2 linked regions of the Diceros bicornis minor genome follow. The protein of the gene in region 2 purifies or fractionates together with the protein of the main gene of each other region. This does not show direct contact. Links are inferred from orthologs where the notes say so. Each region holds a gene or a part of one and is shown on either strand. Other genes may lie near its edges. The genes, in order: NR1H2 and ABCA1.

What was found.
Region 1: the proteins of ABCA1 (region 2) and NR1H2 purify together in Homo sapiens (affinity purification with western blotting; 3 studies listed by BioGRID and IntAct, with this or other methods). This does not show direct contact. The link is inferred for Diceros bicornis minor from reciprocal best matches to the Homo sapiens genes ABCA1 and NR1H2.

Annotation. Positions count from the first base shown.
Region 1 is NC_080773.1:25,575,442-25,584,907, reverse strand, and holds the start of NR1H2 (oxysterols receptor LXR-beta), read right to left. Parts: upstream 3,559-9,466; 5' UTR 3,431-3,558; intron 3,319-3,430; 5' UTR 3,185-3,318; intron 2,612-3,184; 5' UTR 2,593-2,611; coding exon 2,550-2,592; intron 2,471-2,549; coding exon 2,339-2,470; intron 2,039-2,338; coding exon 1,748-2,038; intron 1,666-1,747; coding exon 1,400-1,665; intron 1,201-1,399; coding exon 1,021-1,200; intron 379-1,020; coding exon 279-378; intron 1-278. UniProt on the Homo sapiens protein: Nuclear receptor that exhibits a ligand-dependent transcriptional activation activity. Binds preferentially to double-stranded oligonucleotide direct repeats having the consensus half-site sequence 5'-AGGTCA-3' and 4-nt spacing (DR-4).
Region 2 is NC_080767.1:14,665,802-14,674,549, forward strand, and holds the start of ABCA1 (phospholipid-transporting ATPase ABCA1), read right to left. Parts: upstream 3,485-8,748; 5' UTR 3,259-3,484; intron 1-3,258. UniProt on the Homo sapiens protein: Catalyzes the translocation of specific phospholipids from the cytoplasmic to the extracellular/lumenal leaflet of membrane coupled to the hydrolysis of ATP.

The sequences.
Region 1 (9,466 bases), on a different chromosome or scaffold from region 2:
CCAGCTTTGGGAGGAGGCAGTGTCTTTTTCTCATTCCCACCCAGATGCTCTGTATGATAGCAGAAGCCTGTCTCATCCTGCACTGCGTTCCACCGTACAGACTTGGCACTCAATACATGTGCTCTTATCTTGCGTCAGGGTTGGCTCAACCCTCAGCCGGTTTTGGAGATAAAGAAACGGAGGCTCAGGCCTCAAGGATGAGCCGGCCCGAGGTCTCCCAGCCAGCAGGGGCCCCACCCCGGCCCCCGGGCCCCCAGCCGCCGGCCCCGGGGCCCTACCTGCGCGGTGGAAATCATCCTTGCTATAGGTGAAGTCCTTCAGGAAGGTGATGCAACCTGTCTCATGGTTGTAGCGTCTGGCCGTCTCCAGCAGCATGATCTGGGGACAGCAGTGGGGGCAGGGGGCTCGAGGCGTCCCTGTGAGCCTCCAGCCACCAGGCCCTCCTCTCCTGGCCTGAACGGGGGCCCGATCTCTCCAGCATCGTGCCTCGCCCCTCTGCCCCCCGTACTCTCGGCCACACCAGCCTGTGTCCTGTTGGACACTGCAGGCTCCCTCCCTCCTGCAGGTTCGGCACCCACAGCACCCTCCACTCAGGATGCTCTCCTGATGCACGAGGCACGGGGACAGAGTCTGTGTCTGGTTCATTCACTCCCATATGCCCAGCACTTGGAATGGAGCCTGGCATACACCAGGCACTCAATACTTGTTACCATCGTTTGGTTCAAATGTCAACTCGCTGAATAGACTTTTTGGCACATTCTCTAAAGTGCGCCCCTCCAGCCCAATCCTCAATTATTCTCAGCCTCAGCCGGTTTCCTTTCTCTCCTTGGCTCCCGGGAAGCTCTGATTACCTTGTTTAATATTTCGACATTCCCCTGGAGAGTGTCATCCCCACAAGGGTGAGGACTGGAGGAGTCTTGCTCATCACTATGTGCCTGGCATCTGGCCCGGGGCTTATCTCTGGGGTTCTTTGTGGACAGGAGGGAAGGGCCTTGCTGGGGATGGCGGGCCGGCTGTTACCTCAATGGTAGATGCCTTCAGGAGGGCGATCTGGTCCTCGCGGCCCAGCTGCAGGAAGCCGGGCACCTGCTTGGCGAAATCCACAATCTCTTGGACCGAGATGATGGCCAGCTCCGTGAAGTGGGCGAAACGCTGCTGGCGGGCGTCACGGGACTGGGGGTCCGCACCCAGGGGCCAGGGCTGGGGACGCGAGGGGCCAGGGTTACTCAGAAGACTCCTCCTACGAGCCCAAGGCCATGGGGGCACCTTGAGGAAGCCTGCACCCTAGGAGACCTTCCTGCCCTCTGGAGCCCCATGCCCCACCATGGCCTGGGCTGCAGCCCTGCCAGCTTGACCCCGCCGGGCCCACCACCCCTGGAGGCTGCGGAAGGGCCGGTACCGTGACTTTGGGCTGGTCGGAGAAGGAGCGTTTGTTGCACTGCAGCTGGGCCGCCACCAACTGCTGGATCATCAGTTCCTGAGCGGCTGTTAGCTGGACACCCTCGCCTTCCCCGGAGCCCTGGGCGCCCCCATCAGACCCTCCAGGGGAGGCCCCAGGCCCAGAGGCTGAGCTGCCGCTGACCCCCGGCCCTTTGGGTGACGGCTGCTGCTGCTGCTGCTGCTTCCGAATCTTCTTCTTGCGGATCTGCTCCTCGGAGAGGACGCCTGCAGGGCAGACGCAGGCCTCAGCGGGGGCCCCGGGGCTGGGCAGGGGCCCGGCTGGCGGGGCTCCCTCCCGGGCACTCACACTGCTCCCGCATGCCTGCCTCCTTGCATTTGCGCAGCCGGCACTGCTGGCACTTGCGCCGCATGAAGGCGTCCATCTGGCAGGTCCCGCCACCCCGGCAGGCGTAGCGCCCAGCGGCGCCTCGGACCACGCTGCGCCGGAAGAAGCCCTTGCAGCCTTCACAGCTGAGCACGTTGTAGTGGAAGCCGGAGGCCGTGTCGCCGCACACGAGGCACAGCTCGTGGCCCAGCATCTTCGGGGCCGGGCCCTTCTTCCGCTTGCGCTCCGGCTCCTCGGCTGGGTCGGGGGCGACTGTGGTGGGCGGACAGAGGCCATGAGGGACGGAGCCACAGAGAGAAACAGCAGCCAGAGGGGCAGGCCCACGAGAGATCGTGGGAGGGAGGGAACCGGGGAGACGGCGATTCAGAGCAAAGGTGTATACATCAGCGGACCCCAAAGAACGAAGCGAAACAAGAGGTGTCAAAGAGGAAGGGAAAAAAAGAAATCAACAAGTTGGGGCCTCCCATCCCCACTTCCGATCTTTCTGCCTTCCTAGAGCCCTTCCCGAGCCCCCATCCCAACTCTCAGCCCCGTCCCTGGGCCCCGTCTCACCCACACTGCAGGCCGACCCGGCCCCATCAGCGCCTGGGACATCAGGGTCCCGACCCCCAGGCCACGGCTCAGGACCCTCGTCCTTTACAGCGGGTGAAGAGGAGGGGGCGCTGGGCTGAGGGGGGCCATGTCCTGGGAGAAGGAGGCACAGTGAGTTTCTCCTGACAAGTGTGGGATTGGGGGGTGCTGGGTGGGGAAGGGGGTCACTCACCAGGCAAGGGCGAGTCCTGGGAACTCGTGGTGGGGGTGGACATGGTGGGGTCACGGAGCAGCCTGCAGAATACAGGGGGACTCAGAGCCTTGTGGGGCCAGGGAGGGTCAGGTGAGGCCAGCCACAGGTTCTGATGGGGGCACCTCTCTTTCTTCCGTCTCTCCCAGACTCCTCCCCTACCACCCTACAGACGCCAACCCCGGCCCCTGCCAGCCTACAAACCCTTCCCTCCAATTCTAACAGCGCCGGCCCCCTTCTGCTTGGGCTCAAGCCCCGCCCCCTCTAGGCTCCGCCCCTTCTGGCCCCGCCCACTCCAGATCCCACCCACCTGCTCTTTCCAACTACTGCCCCTTCTGCTTCAATCGTGCTGCACCCTCACTTCCTCCTTCCCAGTTTCACCCCATCTCTTACTCAGACTCCGCCCACCTCTGTCGAGGAAGCACCCCCTCTCCCATTCTGACCCCACCTCCTCCTATTACGCTCCGCCCCATCTTTTCTAGGCCCCGCCCCATCCCTTCCCGGGTCCACCCTCACTCCTCCCATAAGGCGCCGCCCCATCATTCTGCACTCCCCCCATCCGTACCTCTCCCTCCAGGCCCCGCCCCACCTCCTCCCATCAAGCTCCGCCCCCACACCTCGCTCCAGGTCACGCCCCTCTCCGAGCACCAGTGGAGGGCGGGGCTCATGGCTGCGCGCGAGGGTCTCGTGGGCGTCCTCTCGCGGGGTCTCCTACTCCCGTTGCCCTGGAAACAGCCGGAGGCGGCGCGAGCTACGGAGGGGAGGGGGCGACGGGAGAGAAGGGGGCTGAGCGGAGCAGCGCGGGGAACGCCGGGAAGCCCCGGGCCCGGGCTCCTCCCGCGTCGCCCCACACCCAAGCGTACCTGCCTCCGTCCCCTTGCTCTGCCTCTCGTCCTCCTTCTCTGTGTCCCCTGGCACGCCGCCGCTGCTCGAGTCCCCTCAAAAGTAACTTCGCCACTTCTTCCGGCAACCCCACCGTGCGTCACTTCCGGAAAAGGGCGGGGAGTCAGAATGGACGGACTTCCGGTCCGCGTAGGACTAGCTAAATCGGCTGCCCCGCACGGAAGTCGTATACCCACTGGGGACTGGGAGAAGAGTTCCGGATCCGTCAATCAAACCCTGGGCGAGAGTGGGCGTGGCCAGTCCCAAACCTTCCCGCCGCGCGCTGTGTGGCTTTAACTCATCCTGTGCCTTTCTGGGCTCGCAGCCAAGGATTTACGCGGCATGCTTGTCCCCTAGCTCTAGCTCCTTTTCGCAGATGGCTGATTTAAATCGTTTGTCTTTTTTTGGTTGTTAGAAGTTTTTTGATTTTGGAGGTGCTCTGCTTGTTGGTTTTAAATACGTTAATTTACAAACCTCGACCCAGAAAAAAATATATTTAAAAAATAACTTCATGATAGGAAGAATAAAAAAAGAAAAAAAAAAAGCGTAGCTTCCCCTGCCAGAAAGATAAAAATAATAGCTTTTAAAGAAAACTCAGAATACTTGATCAGGTAGAAGACGGACATTTTTCCAAAGTCTTTCCCCCGTGGTAATCAGATCTATATCGAGCATACACGCATTTTTTTCCAAAAGAGGAATGTGTGATCTATGGTCTTTTGTAGCTTGTTTTGTCGGTTCCGGCACGGCCTTGGAAGCTGTGGAATTTTCCAAGGATGTTACCAGTAAAACGAGTGGTTTCCATGGGCGTCTGGGGCTGGCTGAACTGGTGTGTCTGCCACTTCCTCGCCGTGTAATGTTGAGCCAAGCTATTTACCCTCCCTGCACCTCGGTTTCTTATCTGACATTGGGAACAAGAGTTTATTGCATTGTTATTATGATTAAATGAGCTAAAAAGCATGGACAGGACTCAAATAGCGAGCCCAGGGTGTGGGAGCTAGGTTTATTTTTGTGGATGTTAAAGTTGTTTTTAACTTTTCACTATTAGAAGAGTGCAGTAGGCTGAAGATGAATTACAACAGTTTGGGGCAAATCACATCACTCCTAGTCTCGGTTGACCTACCTGTAAAATGAGGGAAATTATTTGTTTTTCTTTTGAAGGGTGTGAGGATTCAGGAAAGGCGGTGCGTGGTATATCTAAAACTCCGATCAGTGCAATTTTGTTATTTGAAACTAACCGCGGACCAGTGTTCTCGTTTGTAATGGATCCAATATCCCCTGATTTTTTTTGTAACAGCTTTATTGAGATTTAAGTCACGTACTCAAACAATTCACCAATTTAAAGAGTACAATTCAATGGTTTTAGTATATTCACAGAATTGTTGCAACCATCACCACGATGAATTTTAGAACATTTTTGTCACCCCCCCCAAAGGAAACCCCATACCCACTAACAGTCACCCCCACTGCCCGCATCCCCCAAGCCCTAGGCAACCATTAATCTACTTTCTGTGTCTATGGATTTGTCTATTGTGGACATTTCCTATAAACGGAATCTTAGAATATACGTCCTTTCGTGTCTGGCTTCTTTCGCTTAGCATAATGCTTTTGAGGTTCATCTCCGTTGGAGCAAATATCAGTACTTCATTTCTCTTTATGGCTGAATATTATTCCATTGTATGGATACACCACATTTTATCATTCATTAGTTGATGGAGATTTGGGTTGTTTCTATTGGTTATAGTCCTGCTATGAACATTCCTGTGCAAATTTTTGTGTAGACATATGTTTCCAATCCTCTTGGGTATATACCTAGGAGTGAGATTTCTGAGTTATATAATAACTCCATGTTTAACCCTTTGAGGAACTGCCAGACTCTATGCACCATTTTACTTTCCCACCAGCAGTGTGCGAAGATGTGAATTTCTTGACATCAGGACCAACACTTGTTATTATGTCTTTTTTATTACAGCCATCCTAGTGGGTATGAAGTCATGTTTCACTGTGGTTTTAATTTGCACTTCCCTGACGGCTAATTCTGTTTCTTTTTATCACAAATAATTTGTAATGTGGAACTCTGCCTTTACTCTTCTGAAGTGAAATGCAGAGATAATATAGCTCAACTGTGACCACAACAACAACAAAATATCATTCTATTTCAACAAATGCAATGCAAAAGATGAATGAATGTAAGCTAAAGTGATACGCACTTCAACATAAGTACACAGGAGAAACGACATGGCAGCCAGATCTTACTTCCAAATACAGAATTGCTGTTTGTGTCTAGCTGTCTGACAGACAAGTGCTGTATCAACTCAGATGCCTCAGGCAGCATTGCTGTGGGTGATGCGATTTTTCCAAAACTGTGGCCAAGTCTTAATAAAATCATCAATAAGACCAACTATAATCTTTCCTTGGTATATACATGAGATGCACCCCAAGAAAATTCAGGGTATATTAAAGTCACGCCAGAAATTACATTGGCAAGTATATGTGAAAGAGAGTAGGCTGAAAGTCAGATAATTAGGCAACAACTTTTTGATGGAATGTCTAGCAGGACATTTAAGCTTTCCATGTGCCTAACTCCCCAACCCCTGCCCAGTAAATGACAGCAGCTACCCCAGTTATTGTGGAAATAAAATAGCCTCTTGGCCCAAATAAAACTTCCAGAGGTAATGTGTGTGAGAGAGGGAGCCGTATGGACACTTGAGGGAAAGTGTGTTCCAGCCAGATAGAACAATCAATGCAAAGGCCCTGAGGTAGGAATTTTGGCATATTCAAAAAGCAGCAAGGAGACCAAGGTGGCTGGAGCTTAATGAGGTGAGGAGGAAGAGGTAATATCCTAGAGGGAGCACAGTCCCATCATGAGGCCTTGTGGGCCAGATGAGTCCAGTACTGGCTGAGAATTCACAAAAAACAGTCTCTTGACCTGGGCGACACAAGTGGACTACATTTCCCAGCTGCCCTTGCAGCTAAGTGTGACCACGTGACTGAGTTCTGGCCAATAGAATGCAAGCAAAAGTGATAGGTGCAGTGAGTGAAAGCCGAGGTCTCTGAGCTGACTCCAAGGTGTCTAGAGCCTGAAAATGCAGGTTCAAATCCCCGCGGAGTACACCTGGCCTGTACCACCTTCCCACCCATCCCCTCCGCCCCCTCATCTCAGTTTCCCGCCTCTGTAAAATGTGAATGATAATTCCTCTCTTAATCATCCAGGTTGCTGGATGAATAAATAAAATGGTGAGTTGAAAAATCTGGCAATCCTTTACCCAATCACAGCCCGCGGCCTCCCGTAGGATTGTGCTGAGCGAGGCTGGAGACCCTGAAAGGGGTCAGGCCTGAGCCTTACCTGGAAGGCCTCCTGGTTTGGTGGTGGAGGTCAACCTGGGCACAAACCACTATATGAAAAAATAGGGGGTGATCCTGGTCCCATTTGCTGTGTTAAGAAGACATCTCTTAGCTACTGTCAACTTAAAAAGCAAATTTACCTGTTATTTCATCTCAAAATGAGTTTATTGGGGAATAGCCAAAGGAATTGCAATTCAGGAGGTGCATGCTATGGCAAACTATAGGCAAATCCAGAAAACAAAGGAGGGGAGCTGCTTTTATAGAGAAAAAGGGGGAGTAGGGAGGGGCTGCTCTGAAGGAAAGTCCATTGGGGGAAAGTAACAGTTTGGGGCAGCTATGGCCTCTCATTGGCTGAGCTGCAGCATTTCTCATTGGCTGAGCTGTGGCATTTCTCATTGGCTGAGCTGAAGTGTTTCTCATTGGCTGAGCTGCAGCATTTCTCATTGGCTGAGCTGTGGCGTTTCTCATTGGCTGAGCTGCAGTGTTTCTCATTGGCTGGGCTGTTGCCAGGTGGGGAGAGAAATCTTCCTTCAGTAGTAGAGTAGTTTTATTTCCTGTCAGAGATGCAAGCTCTGTCTCTTGGTGTAATTGATGGTGTGTGATGGGCGTGAGAGCTCCCCCTACAGGCCTTCCCAACTCCTATTTAGTTAAGGTTTCTTTTGTTAATGTCCGCACTACCTCCGGCGGGAGGCAGTCAGGGGGAAGCATCTGCTCCTTTCACTGCGCAGTCTACATTCCAGGCAGTGGGAACCACAAGGGCAAAAGCAAGGAGCTTTGAAAGAGACTGATGTGTTCCAGGATTCAGCTCAAGAAACTGGGGAGGTAAAATTTTAAAATTAAATATTAAAAAAAAAAAGCTACCTTGGGGAAGGTGCTTAATAAATCCTTGTTGGATCACAGTAATTTAAGTCAAATTAAGAGACTAGTTCTTCCTGATGAGTGGATCAGGAAGATGTGGTGTATACATACAATGGAATACTACTCGGCCATGAAAAAAGACAAAATAGTCCCATTTGCAACAACATGGAAGGACCTGGAGGGTACTATGCTAAGCGAAATAAGCCAGAAAGAGAAAGACCAACACCACATGATTTCACTCATATGTGAAAGATAAACCAACACACAGACAGAGAGAACTGTTTGGTGGTTACCAGGGGCAAGGGGGGTGGGGGCGGGCACAAGGGGTGACGGGATGCATTTATATGGTGACTCTCAAACAATAATGCACAACAAAAATTTCACAATAAAGAAAAAAAGAGACTAGTTCTTCATAATTACAAGAAAGCGCATCAAATGTTATTACCAATGTGAAAACGTGGTGTGTCGAGTCAGCCATGTTTACAGTGTGTGTACTAATTTTTCAAGACATTCAGAAAATTTATGTTGAAATGTATGTGAAGAAACAAATGAAACTATTATCACAACTCGTGTAAAATAGACTGATCAGAAAATATTTTCTCCTCGTCCTGAATAGAGAATAATCACAAGGCTTTGCATTTTAGCTGTTAGGAGTATGGCTCATAGCCTGTTCAATAAATCGTGAACCAGGACTCAGAAAAGGAAACTCATGTGGGGAGTGGGGACAGAGCTGGTGTTGGCTTGGAAAATTGGCCCACAGCACCACCGTGTGGCCATTTACGAATTTGCAGGCAAGATCTGTCAGAAACCACTTATTAACAGAGTGGGCGTTGGGACTGGATGATGCGGAACCCGGGTGGGGAGATTCTGAGGGGTCAAGACTGAGTATTCCAGCCTCTGAGACAGAGGACGGGCAGATGTGGTGCGAGTTATTGTAGAGAAAGTGACTCTGCAGCTGCTGTGTCAGGGAAGTCCCCCAGAGCAACAGGTGCTCAAAGTGGGTTGTTAAAAGTATTTATTATTTGCTAGATGCCAGGCACTGTGCTAGGTTCTGGGGACACAGTGGTTAATGAAACAGACCAAGATCCCTGCCCTCGTGGAGATTAGATTCTAACGGGGAAACGAGCGTTAAAGGTAATAAGTAAATTAACAGTATAGACAATATCATTGATCCTGAGATGCACATGGCTGACAACCGATGACATCTTAGAGTTAATGAAATGTTACATGATGAAATGACGTCTTACAGTTAATGAAAGGTGTTGAGTACTATGAAAAACGCATAGATCAGGGAAAAGGAGATTGGAAATTCTGGGGGAGGAAGGTTGCTGTGTACAATAGGGTGGTCCGGGTGGACTTCACTAAGAAGGTGACATTTAAGCAAAGATTTAAAAGAGGAGAGGGAGTGAGTAAGGTTTTCTGGAGGGAAAACACTTGGGCAGAACAGCTCGTGCAAAGGCCCTGAGGCAGGAGCATATCTCAGTTGTCCGAGGAGCAGCAAGAAGGCCAATGTGGCTAGATGGAGTGAGTGTAAGGGAAGAGATGCTATCAGAGAGGGAATGGGGCCAAATCATATAGGGCCTTTCAATTCTGTAATGCCATTGATTCTACCCTTTGTCTCTGTTTCCCTCACCTCCTCTCGTGTCCTCTCTTCCTTCCTTAGACAGCACAGATTCTATGGTCAACCACCATAATCGTGTCCTTGCACACACAACGTTAGCTCCTTTGCTCTTTCTCCCTCAATCATACTTGCCCATAAAACCTCAACCCGGGTTAAAATGAACCCTCGGCCTTCCCTGTGCCTGCTCTCACCCTGC
Region 2 (8,748 bases):
ATTCCTAGACAGTAATGGCAGTAATAAAGAAATAACTTATTGGGGCTGGCCTGGTAGTGTAGCAGTTAAGTGCGTGCACTCCGCTTTGGCGGCCTGGGGTTCCAGGTTTGGATCCCGGGAGCACCGACGCACCACTTGTCAAGCCATGCTGTGGCAGCATCCCATATAAAGTAGAGGAAGATGGGCACGGATGTTAGTCCAGGGCCCATCTTCCTCAGCAAAAAGAGAAGGATTGGCATTGGATGTCAGCTCAGGGTTGATCTTCCTCACACACACACACACAAAAACACAAAAAAATCTCAACAATAAAAAATTAAAAAAAAAAAAGAAATAACATTTCAAAAGGTCCACAACAGTTAGGGAGAGAACAAGCAGAGACTGTATTGTATTATAACCAACAAAAAAAGTTTTACCAAAGTTGGGATTGACAGCTAAAGTAATAGTTCTCCTCCCTTTTCCTTTTTTTTTATATACTTTTACAGCCAAATACTGTCTTCCCATTTTCTACACATTGCATAGGAAAACACTTTGAGATCACAGACTTACTCACAAATATTTGACTGAAGCAATAGTGAAGTTTTCATTTTAAGCCAAGTAAAGAAATTAGAGTTGAGTAAATTTTATTGTATGTTCTTTCCATGATGTTGCAATCTCTATGCAACCAAGGCCCCAGCAAGCTGAAGAGAATTTGGCTGGCCCACTCACAGCAACAACAGAAATATGATACCGGCTGTAAATTCTGATAAGGACTACAGGAGATGAATGTGCCAGAACATAGTGAGCATCCTCAGAAAGTCCTCTGCTTGCAGCAGCTGAAATTGTACCACCTCACTGCATGGTGTGGGAGTTAAAGAACTCTGGAGCTCACGGGCTAGGTTCAAACCTTAGCTCTGCCACTTGCAAAGTGGGTGGCCAGTTAACCTCCCAGTTTCTTAATATGTAAAATAGGGATAATAAATGGGTTTATTGTGAAGATTAAATTAGTTAGTATTTGAAAAGCATATGGAAAAGTACCTGGCACATACTGCTATTTAACAGTGTCTATTAAATAAACATTGCAATAACTTTGGCATTTATGCTTATTTCCACATGCAGATATGAAGATGTTCTCAGTTTTTAGTGTAGGCCCTCTCTCAGAATAGTTAAAACAAATTTTCAGAAAGATCTTTTAAAATTTGATGCTGGAGTAATTGATCATAAGGAGCATTATATTTGCATTATTTCTTTAATATCCAGAGAGTAAATAAAAACGTATTTGGATTTGAGAGTATTTTAGAAATGCAAAAATCATGTCTATCGGTATTTTCTGGATATCCAAAAGGTTCACAATTAAAGAGTCTAAGGCAATGCCCATGTAATTATTTTAGGAGCTAAAAATCGAAATAGCGAAGATATTAACAATTTGCAATCACTACCAATACAGCATAAACAATTTGGTTAATGGGAGGGAAGAGCCCTAAAAAATATTTTAAATGAAAAAATATTCCAACTTCTCTCCATATAAGGTACATACTACGTAAGATAATAAAAAGCTGTCACTGAGTTTCCTTCAGTTTCATTCATTTTTAATAATGTTTGCATTGAGACTTCCTGGAGCAGAGGGTGAAACCAACCAAGCGCTAATCACCCCTTTCTAATCCTAGACTAATCATCGTCTCACATGAACTGTAAATACGCCAAGTCAAAGTGTCCAGGGTCTGTTACAGGGCTCTATTTAGAGTTAAATCGAGATCCGGCCTTAGAAAATGACTTGCTGATTTTCATCACTAGGGAAGTTTTTAAAAATATCAAATTTGTCCTCTATTATACGAATGTATATATGATCCACTCATTTTGTGAGGTGTCACTGACAAGTCCCCCGTTTTAAAAGCTGATGGTATCTATGCTGCAAAAAACAAGGGCCAATTACTTCCTGTGCCAGATGCTTTTCTCTCTCTCCTCTTTCTCTCTTTCCCTTTTTCTCTCTCCTTCTCTCTCTCTCCTTTTTTATCTTTTTTCCTTCTTTCTGATAAGTGCTGAAGAAGAGGCACCAACACACAACCCTGGCACACTGGCCCATGACCCAAGAACCTTCCGGTTTAGCAACGGTCTTGGGGTCCGGGAAACATTCTAACAAAAAACCACTAGATGGGCTTTTGCCTGATCCTTCAAGTTTCCTCCCAGTTTGCAACCACCCGTCTTCACGGGATCTCAGTCGGAACCCGCGAGCGACAATGCCTCGTAGAGCCCGGCCCCACTCCGACCACGGGGCCGATTCCCAGGCCACCCGGCCAGGAGGCGCTGCGGGCCAATCCCTCGAGGCCGCCGGCAGCCCGCGCCCAGCCCTCCCCACCCCCACCGCCGAGCCCAGCCGCGCGGCGGGGCTCGGAGTTCTGCACCGCCTGCCGGGGTTACTCCCGGTCATTCTGCTGCACCGTCGCGCCCCAGCTTCCCCATCCGTGCCGGGCCTGAGGCTGCCCCAAGAGACAAGCAGCAAAGCACAGGAAGATGGGGGGCGAAGAGTAGGTACCTCAGCTCCAGTTTCCACAGACTCTCCTTGTCTCTAAGTCTTCTGTTTTTAAAAGGAACAAAACTCGTCCCCTGCTGCGCCAGGGACACCAGCTCTGGTAAGCGCACGGAGGCAGGACCATAGACAGGACCCCCAGGTCAAACAAAGCCCCCGAGGCCTCAAGTGAGCACTAGCGCTACGGACCCCGTTTGGGACACCTCCCAGTCGAGTTCTTGGGGAAGAAGGACCGCCGCTCCAGGTCCGGGGCGCACGGGGCCGATGCCCAGGTCACAGCCCAACTCAGACCAGCTTTTTAAGAACCGAGGAGGGACTGAGTGCTGGCATTTGTCCCGGTGGGCGCCGGCCTACCTGCAGCCAGAAGGGTTTTCAGCCGGCTCAGACGCTTCGGAACAAAGGGAAGCGCTGGGTGCCGGACCTGCCCCTCTCTCCACTCCGGCAGCAGCGCCCCCAGCACGACCAGGAGCCCCCGATTCCACTGCACCGACTACTGCGCCCTGGTCTCCACGCCCAGAGATGCTCCCCGGGCTCCACCGCCGGGCGAGCACCGAGGGCCGCAGCGCCGAATCTCTGGGTCGCCAGAGCTCGTCCTAGGACGTCCTCCCCCCCATTTAAGCCGCCCCTGCCCCATTTGCGTTGCAAGAGGTGGGATGTGGGGGTTCGGACCAAAGTACCTGAAACCGAGCACTTCTCAAAACCTGCTCCGCCCAGAAACAAAACAAGAATGTCCAAGTCACTGAAGAGCCTCTTACCTGTTTTCCACTTTTGTGTTTGAGTATCTTTCCCCCACCCCTTGAAAATCCCTTCCAGGAAAAAGGGGGGGGGGGAAGGAGCAAAGCGCCCCAAGAAATTGGCTCTGGCGGCGCTGGTCCCGCGGTGCCCCCTGCCCTGCCCACCTGCGCCCGGGCAGAGAGCTGTCAGCTCGGCTTGGCTTGCGCCGGCCCCACTCACTCTCCCTCGGAATTACCGGGTTTTTGCCGCGACTAGTTCCTTTTATAGATTCGGCTGCGCTGAGCGCTGGGGTTACTATCGGTCAAAGCCTGTTCTCTCCCTCCTTCCCCGCCCCTTTCCCCGGCCTCTGTTTATGTAGTTCAGTCACTCAGCAGAAAGCACGTGGAGCCGCGCCCCGCCCCTTAAACCGGCGACGTCCTGCGGCTCGGTGCAGGGCTGGGGGCGGAGGGTGGTAGGTGGGGATGCTGCAGGCATCACCTGGTCTTGGCTCGGCGCCCCTACCCCGGCTCGGGCCTGCCCGCCTAGGACTGGCGGCAAACGCGGTGCTTGGGGCTGAGCCGGAGACTCTCTCTCGTCCACGTTCCGGGCAGCCAACAGCACTGGTGGAAATCGCTTCCTCTAAACTCGTGTTTTCCGCAATTTTTTTTTTCTTCTTTTGTTAGTTTACTCAGTCGGAGGGATTGGGGGGTGAGAGAACGCGAGGCTGAAACCCCTCAGGACGCCAACCCTTTAGTCTTTCTTTCCTTTCAAATGCCCGGGGTGTGGGGGAAGGTGGACAGTCCTCTGGGTAATTAGCTGTTTTTGTTTGCCACCACAAACTCTGACTTTGGTATTCAATAGCGACTTGCTGCCTTTGGGATTCCTGGCCAAGGCCTCCCAGGTCTCTGGGAGGGCCAATGAAAAGCGTCTTGCTCCTTCTCTTTGTAAACTGGGGAGAGGGTGAGGCTGCAAAAAACAGAACAGTGTGGACCAGCCCCCTTTTTATTTTCATGATATTGGTCAGTGTCCTAGTGATAAATACACAGGGCTTGTATTTTGGCTTCTATAGATTGCAAAGTGCAGCTAGAGAATTGCAGTCATGTAAAATTATATAACCATTCCAGTTCGCCAGCTTTTTCCTCTGGCTTTGGCTTTGACAGTCAGGAGCAAGGCCACCCATCACATTTGAGGGACCGAGGCAAGAGTACAAATGGAGGCCCACATACTTTAAGTCTAAATATTTAGGTCATAAATCAAGTCAACAAATTGAAAATAAATGTCTCCTACCTTGACAAAGTTACCTTTGAAGCAACCTGGAAGGGCAGGTTCGCCTTCAGACTCCTTACAACTTGACCTGAGTTTTGGCAAGAGTGGGGTGGAGTGGGAGAGCCAGCCCCCAGACCCCTTCTCTTCTCACCTCCAGTTCCATCGTATTCAAGAAGAAACTCCACTGCGTGCATGTGGACGACCAGCTCCACAAGCCCCTTCCACACTGCAGTCAAGGCCACAACTTGAGCCCAGGTGCACAAATCAGTGGTACTGTCAACACTCAGGACAGATCCAGTGAGGAGGCCTCTGGAGGCCCTAGAAGTGCACTTAGGGGCCTTAGGGCAAGGAATTCTGGGGTCTACGTACTCATAACTCTGGTGGCATGGCCCTTTGACCCTTAGGAAGGACCGCTCACCCTTAGGAAGGGATGAAGTTTGAGGAGGGCCAGAGCCAAGCCTTCTGAAACCCAGGGCCCAGGAGAGGGCTCCCCTCTTGCCTGGATCAATGAACAACCCTAGCCAAGAGACTGGGTTCTGGGGTCAAATTTGACTGAACCACCTAATCTGCAACTTTCTGCCTCCATTTCTTCATCTGTAAAATGGAGAAAATATGTATGCTCTCTCTAGCTCACTGGGGTTTTCTGAGAGTGAATTTTGTTTATTTGAGCTCCTCGGAAGAATGGCACTGTAAACAAAGAGGGTGTTATTAGCTGACTATTAATGTCATTTGCAGGTACTAGCCATGGCCTATAAAGTTTTCTCATGCCAAACTTTTAAAACTCTAGGTCTAGCAAAGAGTTAAAAGTAATCTCTCTGACCTTCTAGATATCAAGGAAAGCTCCCAGAGGAGGTGTTACCATTCCAAGTATGATTTGGGGGAGTGATTAAGTCTCTCTGACTCTCTCTTCCCTGCCGCATTCTACCCCCTGCCCCCATCTACCAGTCACAGTGCTTAAAATCCCTCCATCAAAATCATTCTTTTTGGAATTTTGGAGGCTATGGTTCCCAAGAACACCCCTATTAAAGTAATCCCTTAGACTGTTCTACTGAGGAAGGAGTGACTGTACATCCTGTACAAATAAGACAAAGATAGGACGCTGGAGAAAGGAGGTGAGCCCAAGAAGAAGATGAAGCCCCAGAGAGGACAGGCAGTGATTCTAAATACATAAGTCTGTGGCCCCAAAGCCAAAGCTGATCATTTTTAACTAAGAACCTATGGTGTCAAGAATCTGCTCACCCCTACACTGAATACATGAACATACTGTAATGTTTGAAACATATTTGAGACATGTTTATTAGTCTCGTTGATTTCTACCAATAAAAGAGCACATGCCCCTAAATAGGCTAAGTGATTTGGCCAGGTGACACAAGGGCATAAGTCTGCTGACACCAAGCCCATACTTTGCAAGTGTGACAGGTTCATATGACAAAAATACTGAATTCCAAAAGTTAGAGCCTAAGAGAATGTGTCCCTGGAGAAAGTTTACAAGTGTGAATTCTCTCCCTTGAATGTCATAGGTTGATTTGTTCCTGAGTATGCTTCAGTGAGCTTTTCTCCAAGTCTTTCGATTCCTGCTAACACCAACACCAAAACTCCAAGTCCCCACCCTAGGTGACCCTTTCCAAATAAGTAGGAAGGCCCCTTTTTGTTGCTGTTGCTCGGGAGAAGCTGGTTCTGTAAAGCAGCCTTGGTGGCTTGAGGTTCTATTCTCAGATGACCCTGGCATCTTCTAGTTACAGAATTGTCCTTCAGGCAGCTGTGGCCTTGGAGACCCTGCTAGAGGTCATGGAGCTACAGAGAAGCTCGATTTTTATCATCCATTGAGACTTTTAAATTAGGGATTACCTAAAAGGCTTTGCTTGGAGGTTGCTTTATATATATCCGTTAACCGGCATACATCGATGTATGTATACATATTGTTTAAAATAATGATTTTCACCACCCATGTGTTTTGGTTGGTACACATACTGTTTGGTTCCTGGAAACTCTGAAAAAAATAGAGTATTACAGGAAGTCAATGAGGAATAAAAAAGTATTCTAAAAATAACTTTTCAAGCTGAAATTGTTACAATTAAGAAGACCTAATAGCTAGATTTTTTTGAGAATTCCTAAAGAATGAAAGGTGCCTCAAAATTAAAAAAAAACATAGGTAATACTTCTTTCACATAAAGAGGAATAAAAGGACCTACAGTTCATATTTGAGTCATTTTAATTCTTTTTTTTTTTATAATTTTATTTATTTATTTTTTTCCCCCAAAGCCCAGCAGATAGTTGTCTGTCACAGCTGCACATCCTTCTAGTTGCTGTACGTGGGACGCGGCCTCAGCATGGCCGGAGAAGCGGTGCAGCGGTGCGCACCCGGGATCCCGGCCGGGCCGCCAGCAGCGGAGCACCCGCACTTAACCGCTAAGCCAGGGGGCCGGCCCTGAGTCATTTTAATTCTAATACATGGTTAGACACAGAGACAAATCATCAAGCAATTGATATTCAACTTAAAAATATATAAGGACTCTCCATTATTTGTGGAGTAAACCATGTATAGTGTGGGCTCTCAATACCTACAAATTCAATTTAATTGGACCAGTGTGATCCCCTTCTGTAGTAACGTGTCTCTTATTGACACATAAGCAAGATTCAAAACGATTACTGCTTCTGGACTTGGGTAAGATATTTGTTCTGCTTATCATTGGGACCAACACATTAGCCTGGATTATAGCAGATATATTCCCCTGAATTACTAGTTGATCAATGAGTTATAATTCTTTTTAAAAGCCGTCCTTCCAACCTGCCACCCTTCAAGCTCGCCTTCCCTTAAGAGCCAAACTGCTGGAAAAATTTCATCTCTGCTCCCTCCCTTTCTTTCACTTCCAGCCCATTTCAGGCAAACTCTTGCCCCCACCACTCTGACTTTGTTCTGTTCAAATTTAATAATGACCTCCTTAAGAAGAAAGAGAGGGCCGGCCCCGTGGCGTAGCTGTCAAGTGCGCGCACTCCACTGCTGGCGGCCCGGGTTCGGATCCTGGGCCTGGGTTCCGATCCTGGGTGCGAACCCACGCACGGCATCTCAGGCCATGCCATGGCAGCGTCCCACATAAAGTGGAGGAAGATGGGCACAGACGTTAGCTCAGGGCCAGTCTTCCTCAGCAAAAAGAGGAGGATTGTCATGGATGTTAGCTCAGGGCTGATCTTCCTCACAAAAAAAAAAGAAAGAAAGAAAGAGGCATACATGCTTTCATTTTCATCATTATAAAATATTTTTAATGTAGAAAAATATCTCAAGCACAGAAAGACTGTTAACTGGTAACACTGATGACCTCCTTTAAGTCCTCAGGCTATCTGATCTCTGGTATTTGACACTGTTGACCACACTTTCCTTCCCAAAACTAGTTCTTCTCTTGTGTTTCATGAAGCTGGTTCTCTTCTGACTCTCCTGCCTCTTTAACTGCTCTCTTTCTGTCTCCTCTTTCCTTATATATATGTCTCCTAATACTGGTTTTCTCCCTTTATTTCTACATGCTCCACTCCCTTGGCTTCACTTAAACCCTGTATCGCCAGCTCTCATCTTCTTGCTGAGCTCCCCGACTGTGCTCCCTAACGCAGGATCGAGTACCCAGCAGGACCAGTGGTGTGCTAGAGTTGGCTCACTCCAGCTCAAAAGAGCTGACCGTGTATATCTCTTCCCAACTCTGCAATAAGTGACTTCCACGGAGCCAGCTTAAAATTGGCCAATGGTGGGAATATTTACACCATTGGAAATCTGATACAATCAGGGCTTCTTTTCTTTTTTTGGAAAGCCAGTTAACATTTACCCCCACAACATTTACCAGCACAACACTGAACAGGACATTCTGCAAGTAAACGCCAAAGCAATTTTTTTATCTTTCCTTTAAATCTCCCTCCTCCATCTGCATTTCATTTTTTATTTCATTTAATGACATCATCATCCACACATTGACTATGCGAAATCATAGTCATGCTCGCTTAACTTTTCATCTCTCTATCCCTGTCTTTCTCTTCTCATTCTAAAAATCACCAAGGTCAGGTCAATTGAACCTCCTAAATGTCTCTTAAATCTGTCCCTCCCTCTCCATCCCCATTGCCTAAGTCCAAGCCGAAGGTCTGGGCTTCTGCATTGCAGTAACCTCCAAACTGCTGTTCTTGCCTTTGGTTCCTTCCCCTTCCTGTTTATCTTCCCTACCACAATGGAGTGATTTTTGCATAGGGAGGAAAAAACTAAGCAAACCAACACAAAACCAAAAACT